2 linked regions of the Arabidopsis thaliana genome follow. The protein of the gene in region 1 interacts with the protein of each later gene in a biochemical or structural test. Each region holds a gene or a part of one and is shown on either strand. Other genes may lie near its edges.

Region 1 (3,941 bases):
CTTACGGTAGTTATCGTTTTTTATCTAGTCTTTGTTTCTGTTTATTTTTCTAGTAGTGAATTTTAGCATTTGTTATTTATCTAATTAAGTCTTACTTTGTGTCATTTACCTACTTATTCAATAGGTATATACATAGATAGAAACGTTACGCAAAAATGACCCCATGATCATATGACATTTAAAATTTCGGCTACAAATGACTTTTTCTCCAACCTTAGTGGCCGGTTTGCGGGATGCGCGTGCTATTTCGGTCATTGACAAGATCGTTAGGAGATTGTTCTAATCCGTCTTTATGATTCTAATTGTGATACGAGTAAATAAATTGTTAAATCAAAGTCTCTGTCAACGAATTATTAGTAAAACAATAAATACGTTTATTTAATTATTTTTATTGTATGGTCAAATATCTCCCGATTGTTGTAAATTGGATTCTAATTAAGCGTGATTGGTGACTAGGTTTATGATAAACGACAAAACGTAACACCAACTGTTATTCATTTATTCTCCTCGCAAACAATGCTTTAATTAGTCTCATTTCAGGGATCAGACTCTTAACTATACATTAATGAATAATTTATATGCCTTTCAATAAGATTTTAAGTTAATTAAACGAGTATCCAAAGCTTAACGAAATGAATGTTGATGTCTGATTTGTTTTGTTACTTTAATTCTAAAGAGTAAAGACCTTAGTAATTATAATTAATAACAAAATTAGCCATGCAGTTTGATCTTACCAATAACATTCACATGTAGTAACATTGTAACTTATAAGAAAAGGTTCATCATTTTTTTCATGAATGGATCATCATAAAAGTAACAATAACTAGTCACAAAATGTTCCTTCAATTTTTATTTTTTTGATAGAAACTATATTTGTTGTAAAAACAAACCCTATAAGAATCGATATGGAAAATGGCTAATGAAGATTCAAAATAATTGTGGGGTACTTAGAAGAGGAAGACTTGAAGACATACACCACATAATTGTGACCCAAAAGCTAATCAATAACGTAAGCAAAATGCGAAAGAACACTAAATTTCGGCGCCACACTAATGACAAGAAGTGAGAATAAAAGGTCGGTAAGAGATAAGAGTCTTTCCAAAGGGTGGTTAAGGAATTTAGACATTTAAATTTCATGATTAATTACGAAACATGAAGTTTGGCAATTGTCACAACAAACTCTTCTTTGCTCCACGATTGAGTCAAGTATTAAGTATTCGTGCGAAAGAAGTTCTTTTAGAGGTGTTTTCGGTAATCTACAAAATCTTCTAGTTGTTTAGCACTTTTCCTTTTGGAACGAATTAGTACATTAGCATAAGTCAAATATTTCACTAGAACACGTAATACCTATACTAGTAAGAAATTTTATTGACTTTATTGTTTAGTTAGATTATCGTTATAGGAAAATTTACGATTTTAGACCTCTAGATAAGAAAATGGTCCCTAAACAGAATCAAAATTGAAAAGATTAAAACGTTTTAGTATAAAAATGCAGGGGTGATACAGTGAAATTAACAGAAGTATGGGGTGGTAACGTAAACTCTTAAAAATAAGAAACTGTAATATGTACAGTGGAATATGAAACTGCAGGGCAGCTGTAATTGTCCTTTAGTACGATGCATGTAATGGGCTATTGCCACGTATACACTTTGGACTCAAATCTTCCAACTAATCCCATCCTCTCCTTCGAATATATTCGATTAATTAAAATTTTATGTCACGCTCAGAAATTATTCATCTTTTTTATTTCTTTTACACAACAAGTTACCCACTGGTGAAAGTGAAAACCCATATCTTACAAATGTCCCGTAAAATCATTGCTTTCTGATAAGACCTCAGATTCAATATTTTATACAGGTTCAAAGTGTATAGTCTGTCTATATAACGTATGAATAGATATCAAAACTAGTGACTAAAATATTCAAAAAAATCTCTGTTTCACCAAAACAAGAAAAAAAAAAAGTAAAAAAGAAGTTGTGAATTTTCATTGATATACAGTGAGTGTTTTCTTTCTTTTGCTGTATGTTTTGGACGTTTGTGAGTAAGCACTTATTATTATTTTCCAAGTCCTAATTATATTTCATCACTGCCATGTTCTTTACCGATATAATTACATCATCGTCACATGCACTTACATAATTATCCTTTTTTAATAAATAAAATAAAACTACAAAACCTAATCTTCTCATTAATCACAAAAGCAAAAGATTTAAGTAAACACACTATAAAGACAGAACTAAACAAAAGCTATGGATTTGTCTTCCAAACCACAACAACAACTTCTAAACTCTCTTCCCATCGCCGGAGAACTAACTGTCACCGGAGAAATGGGTGTTTGTTACAAAGAGTGTTTGAAAAACCACGCGGCTAATCTCGGCGGCCATGCTCTCGACGGTTGCGGCGAGTTTATGCCGAGTCCCACGGCTACTTCCACCGATCCTTCTTCTCTCCGTTGCGCTGCTTGTGGCTGCCACCGTAACTTCCACCGCCGTGACCCTTCCGAGAATCTCAACTTCCTCACCGCGCCTCCGATTTCTTCTCCCTCCGGCACTGAGTCGCCGCCGTCTCGTCACGTGTCTTCTCCTGTTCCTTGCTCTTACTACACCTCAGCTCCTCCACATCACGTGATTCTCTCTCTCAGCTCCGGTTTCCCTGGACCGTCAGATCAAGATCCAACGGTGGTTAGGTCAGAGAACAGTTCAAGAGGAGCAATGAGGAAACGAACAAGAACCAAATTCACGCCGGAGCAGAAGATCAAGATGAGAGCCTTCGCAGAGAAAGCTGGTTGGAAAATCAACGGATGTGATGAAAAGTCGGTGAGAGAGTTTTGTAACGAAGTTGGGATTGAGAGAGGAGTTCTTAAAGTGTGGATGCATAACAACAAGTACTCACTTCTCAATGGCAAGATCAGAGAGATCGAACATGGCCTGTGTCTGAACACTCACAGCAATGATGGTGATGGGTCTTCATCTTCTTGAAGAAAGATTCAAGATTCGGGTTAAACCGAATTAGGATACTTTAATTTGGGAAAATATGAGCATTAACCGGTTTAAAATCATATAATAGTGTCTTTTCTCTAACATGTAATCGATCTTGATATAAATATTTATGCGGTTTGATCTTTTCTATTTTCATCACTTTGACAGAGATGTGGTCAGAGATCACAAATGGGTTTGGTAATAAATAAGTTTTTAAATCGGAGGTTGAAACGAATTTTGATAGACCATTTCTAATTATAGTAAGTGCATAAGCGCTAATTGTGATCGTAGAGATCAAAAGATTCGTTTCTTTGTTTACTTTCTGATTATTCAATGTTATCTTCTGTATTATTAGAAATAAATCTCCTGAACTTTAGAGATAGAGTAAGTAAAGTTTGCTTAATGAAGATACGACGACGTGGTTATTACGAATTGCAACAAACTATGGCGTGGCGGAATATAATTAGGTCACTGGGCGGCACATTTTTGTTGTTAATTTATATGATATGATTAAAAGTTATTAAAATGCTGGCTTATCTCTTTCCATTTAGGGATAAGCTTTGGCAACACCAATCTTGCTTATTTATCCTAATTAAGTACAATGCAGATGTTACGATTACTAAAATATCTACTATGTGCAATGATTTGGCTCTTCCCGCACCACTGATATTAAAAATTCGTTTTTTTTCTTTCATTCATCATGTATTAACGAATCATAGCGAATGCTTTATCACGTATAAATGGTCGTAAGTTCAATGCCGGAGACAAAGTATTTTACCATGTATGTACGAAGTAACGAAGCCCAAGCCTTAACAAAAGGCCGGTACGAATATCCATGCCAGATAGATCAATGTATGCAAAAGCTCTATGTAGATACGAGTAACTGCATGCAATGATTAATGATCAATATATGGTACACAAATTGTTTAACATGCATTTGGCGGATAAAATAATTTACATTAT
Region 2 (4,158 bases), on another chromosome or scaffold:
CAGACCCCAAAATATATGACAAAAATGTTAAATGAGATTAAAAGAATGAGCAAGTTGAAACTCGGGAATATGTAGCGGAAGATTCACCTATCTGTAACCATATCCAAAACAGCTCCAAATGTAGAGACTGAAAGGAAAAGAGTTGTGTGTTACGTTCAATCGTTTCTGATAATGTAGAACAAGAATAAACTGTGTATGGGACTAAAAATATTGATCAATGAGACAATGACATGAAATGTCATATTTAATCAATGTCAGGATCATAGAGGAAGCATAAGTAATGAGTTAGTTGAAGCTAAGAAAAGAGATGGGGAGAATGAAAAGAGCACCTTGGTTAAATTTACGAGCGCACCATCCATCCACAGCATCACAACAAAAACTGGAAACAAGATTGGGTAAAGAGTGACTAACATATGAAAGAAGAAGCACCAAACACACAAGATCAAAAAAGGAGAAGAACATGATGTTGGTACCACAAGGATAAAGTCACCTGAAAAAGTACAAGAGGGAGAAGAGTGTCTTGTTGGAGAAGCACACAGAGAAGGCAATGCAGTTCAAGAGAACTCTCATGTACCCTGCCAATTTTGCATGTAACAACACTAATCTCATATGGTTTAAAAAAAATGAAATTTTTAAAGACAGAAGAAAGGAAGTAGCAAAAAACCGACCAACGATATTGGGAATGTAGAGGTAGACTGACAACGTCGCCGGTCTCTGTTTAGCCATAACAGAGAGAGAGAGACTTCAGTTTGGGCAATCTGTTCCCCAACGAAGAAAACAAGGATCTCGCCAATGAAGGGATACCTACACGAGATTAGAAAGAAAAAAGGAACAAACTTTGTGGGAAAATGCGTACGGACAGAGGAACCCCAAATCCGGTAAATACGTGAACACACACACACAAACAAAGTAGGTCAATCGATTTTCAGACGCAACTGGAAATATCAAATCTCAAAGTAAGTATGGGGAAATTAAATATTTCTCACCTGCCTAAGAGAAATTGGGAACGAAGGGATCCGCAGGATGAGCCTGCAGACTTTGTTGGAAGCTCTCACAAGAATCAGATTCGCCTCTCTCTCAAGCAAAAACGTTTTTTCGTTTAATATTCTCAAATTCAATTTGTGAAATACAGTACTAACATTTGTTAAATTATTTGTAAAACTTTTCTCGGTTTCGCCGCTTCAACACTGAAAATTTGCATATTTTATTTGCAAACAATACATACACGCATATATCGTTAATTTTCTTCTTCTTCCACGCACACTTTATTTACTGCTGAATTCGGATTGTGTCATTAGTCATTACTCACTCATTACTAATTTCCACAAACCTTTGTATCTTCATCGCTTAAGACTATAATTGATGATGGGATTTTCGGATATATGAACTTGAATCCCATGGGGGTCCAGATATCCAGATGGTTCTACTTGCAAGTCTTGCAAATCTAAATGGAATTAAAACTCGGTTGATTTTTGTCAAAAAATCGCCAAAAATATAAAATGGTAAGTAAGTGGGCCTCAGAAAAATCCATTAGAAAGCCTAGACCAAATTTTGGAGTGGGCTTCATAAAATAAACAAATCTGGTCATCAAGGTCGGTACGTCGGTGTGACTTTGCGAGTCATCATCGATTATCCAAAAACAATAACTCCTCTCTTTACTTTCTTCCCATGCACCAAGAATATATTTTTTTTATTATTATTTATTAAACAAAAAAAAAAGTAAAGCAGCAGAAAATCTAACGCACGACTCTTGTCCCAAGATCAGTCTCAGTCATCATCAAAACAGAAAATTTTATTATCCATTGTAATTTTATTTTTTTCTTACAAATTACAACTCTTTTTTTTTTCATTCATGGAATTGGAATGAAGAAATGTTTTAAGCCAATCCAAAAAAGAAACCGAAAAAAAAAAACTAGAAATTAGGAAACCGTTAGCAAGAAGAGAAGAATCGAGACGGCGACTAGGAAACTGCTGGGACCAGAAAAGAAAGGTGACCCATCCATCATTCACTTAATTAGATACATACTGTATTACTTATTACAATAATGCCTATATATATTCTCCCAATTCATCATTTACTTCTTTACACCTCCACTTTCCCTTTTGCCCCTCTTTTTTACAGATTTCACTCTCTGCTCTACTACTCTCTCCTCCTCCTCCTCCTAAAGAAAGTTCTTAACTCTCCTGGGTTCTTCAGGTTTTTCCTTTTCTGGAATAAAAAGAAGAAGAAATGGGTGTTCTTGATCATGTCTCTGAAATGTTTGACTGCTCTCATGGTCACAAGATTAAAAAGCGCAAACAGTTGCAGGTACTTTCCCTCTTCCTTTTCTTATCTTAGCAGATTCAGCTGATAACTTAGATCTTGGTTTGCAAAAAAACAAACATAATAATTCGTTGAAAAGTTATGATGAATGAGTCTAGTAGAAACTAGCTTCGATGGTTACTAGGAAAGTTTGAGTGTTACTTAGTAGATCTCGTATATTATAGTTCCATAAATAGACTGCCATTAGCAAGTTTATTATTGTGGTTTTGGCTGGCTAATTTGTGTTACCTTTCTTACTTCAGATCTTTTTTAATATCTCTGTGTTTTTTTATCTGAAGAAGTATATCCAAATTGTTACATGATATAAGTGGGATTTTATTTGAAGCAGTTTTTGTTTTGAGTTAATGTTCCTTCCTAACGCCGACCGAATAGATTCTTTTAATCTGAAATATAAGTTGATACAGCCATCTGTTAGATTTTACACCGGGATTTGTATTCTTCTCGCTGTCAGGAATACTATATAAAATCATTAATTTCCGGGGAAACCAACCACGTTAATTTTTCTCACTAGTCATGATGATATGGTTAAAGTCTTTCAATTGTGGACATTTACTATTCTTCTTAGATATTTTTAAAGTAGGCTAATTTTGTCGTTTTGTGTCGACTGCTTGATGAGGATAGACGGTGGAGATTAAAGTGAAAATGGACTGCGAAGGTTGCGAGCGGAAAGTGCGGCGTTCTGTCGAAGGCATGAAGGGTGTGTCTTCTGTGACGTTGGAGCCCAAAGCCCATAAAGTCACTGTAGTCGGCTACGTCGATCCCAACAAGGTGGTGGCTCGAATGTCTCACAGGACCGGCAAGAAAGTCGAGCTCTGGCCATATGTGCCCTACGACGTGGTCGCTCATCCTTACGCTGCCGGTGTCTACGACAAGAAGGCACCCTCCGGTTATGTCCGAAGAGTCGACGACCCCGGAGTGTCGCAGCTGGCTCGTGCTAGCTCCACCGAGGTCCGCTACACCACTGCATTTAGCGACGAGAACCCGGCGGCTTGTGTGGTCATGTGATGTCATATGGACTACTACTGTTTCAATTTGTTATGGCTTAATTTAATGTCTTGTTTTGTACATTAATACCATAACGGTAGGTTTCTTGTTTTGGTTTTAGTTCCTTGGTCTGTATTCCTTACACTTTATGATTGCAATATGTGTTTTTCCCTTTCTTCCAAAGACTTTTAATGTTAATAAATATTTCTACCCAAAATTAAATTATTTTCATTTATGGTTTGTAATTGTGAAGAAAGCTTCAAATGCGGATCAAGTTGTAGTTAAGAAAACCATTAAATTAAAATAGAGAGAGTAGTTGAAACAAGGGTTCCGAGCTTCCCTCTTTAACCTAGGACATCCTTAAAACAAGGGAACAATATAATACAAGTTGTAACATTTATGTATCAAAGTGTTTATCGATGAGCAAATCAAGTAGAATTAGGATGAAGTCGAGAACACGATACTTGATAGCGATTCTACTTGTAATTTCGCTCTGTTCCAAGGCAAGCAGCCATGATGATGAGAAAAAGAAGAAAGGAGTAACATACGACGGTTCTGAGCGGAACTTCATTGATCATAAATGGAAAAAGAGAGCTTCTTTTCTCTGGTTCTGTTCATTACCCTCGAAGCACACCTCACGTAAGCACGTCTACTCTGTTTTTATTATTACCCAATCAAAAAGATGATTTCACTTCATGGATCGGATTCTGGTTTTGTTGCAGATGTGGCCCAGTATCATTGACAAAGCTAGAATTGGGGGACTTAACACCATCCAAACTTATGTTTTCTGGAATGTCCATGAGCCTGAACAAGGCAAGGTATCATCGACTTCAATTCTCTCTTAAGATCAT

What was found.
Region 2: the proteins of ZFHD1 (region 1) and FP6 form a complex in vitro, tested with the Arabidopsis thaliana proteins (one study listed by BioGRID).

What each region holds. Positions count from the first base shown.
Region 1 is NC_003070.9:26,180,221-26,184,161, forward strand, and holds ZFHD1 (zinc finger homeodomain 1), read left to right. Parts: upstream 1-1,935; 5' UTR 1,936-2,249; coding exon 2,250-2,978; 3' UTR 2,979-3,326; downstream 3,327-3,941. UniProt on the Arabidopsis thaliana protein: Transcription factor involved in the up-regulation of several stress-inducible genes. Acts as a transcriptional activator by interacting with MED25 and NAC proteins. Involved in increased drought tolerance.
Region 2 is NC_003075.7:18,032,366-18,036,523, forward strand, and holds FP6 (farnesylated protein 6), read left to right. Parts: upstream 1-1,765; 5' UTR 1,766-1,990; intron 1,991-1,997; exon of another isoform or gene 1,998-2,122; 5' UTR 2,123-2,230; coding exon 2,231-2,308; intron 2,309-2,944; coding exon 2,945-3,328; 3' UTR 3,329-3,524; downstream 3,525-4,158. Other genes in the region: PIS2 (Putative CDP-diacylglycerol-inositol 3-phosphatidyltransferase 2), read right to left, coding at 88-127, 330-379, 491-575, 669-726; BGAL14 (beta-galactosidase 14), read left to right, coding at 3,751-3,954, 4,030-4,125. UniProt on the Arabidopsis thaliana protein: Heavy-metal-binding protein. Binds lead, cadmium and copper. May be involved in heavy-metal transport. May be involved in cadmium transport and play a role in cadmium detoxification.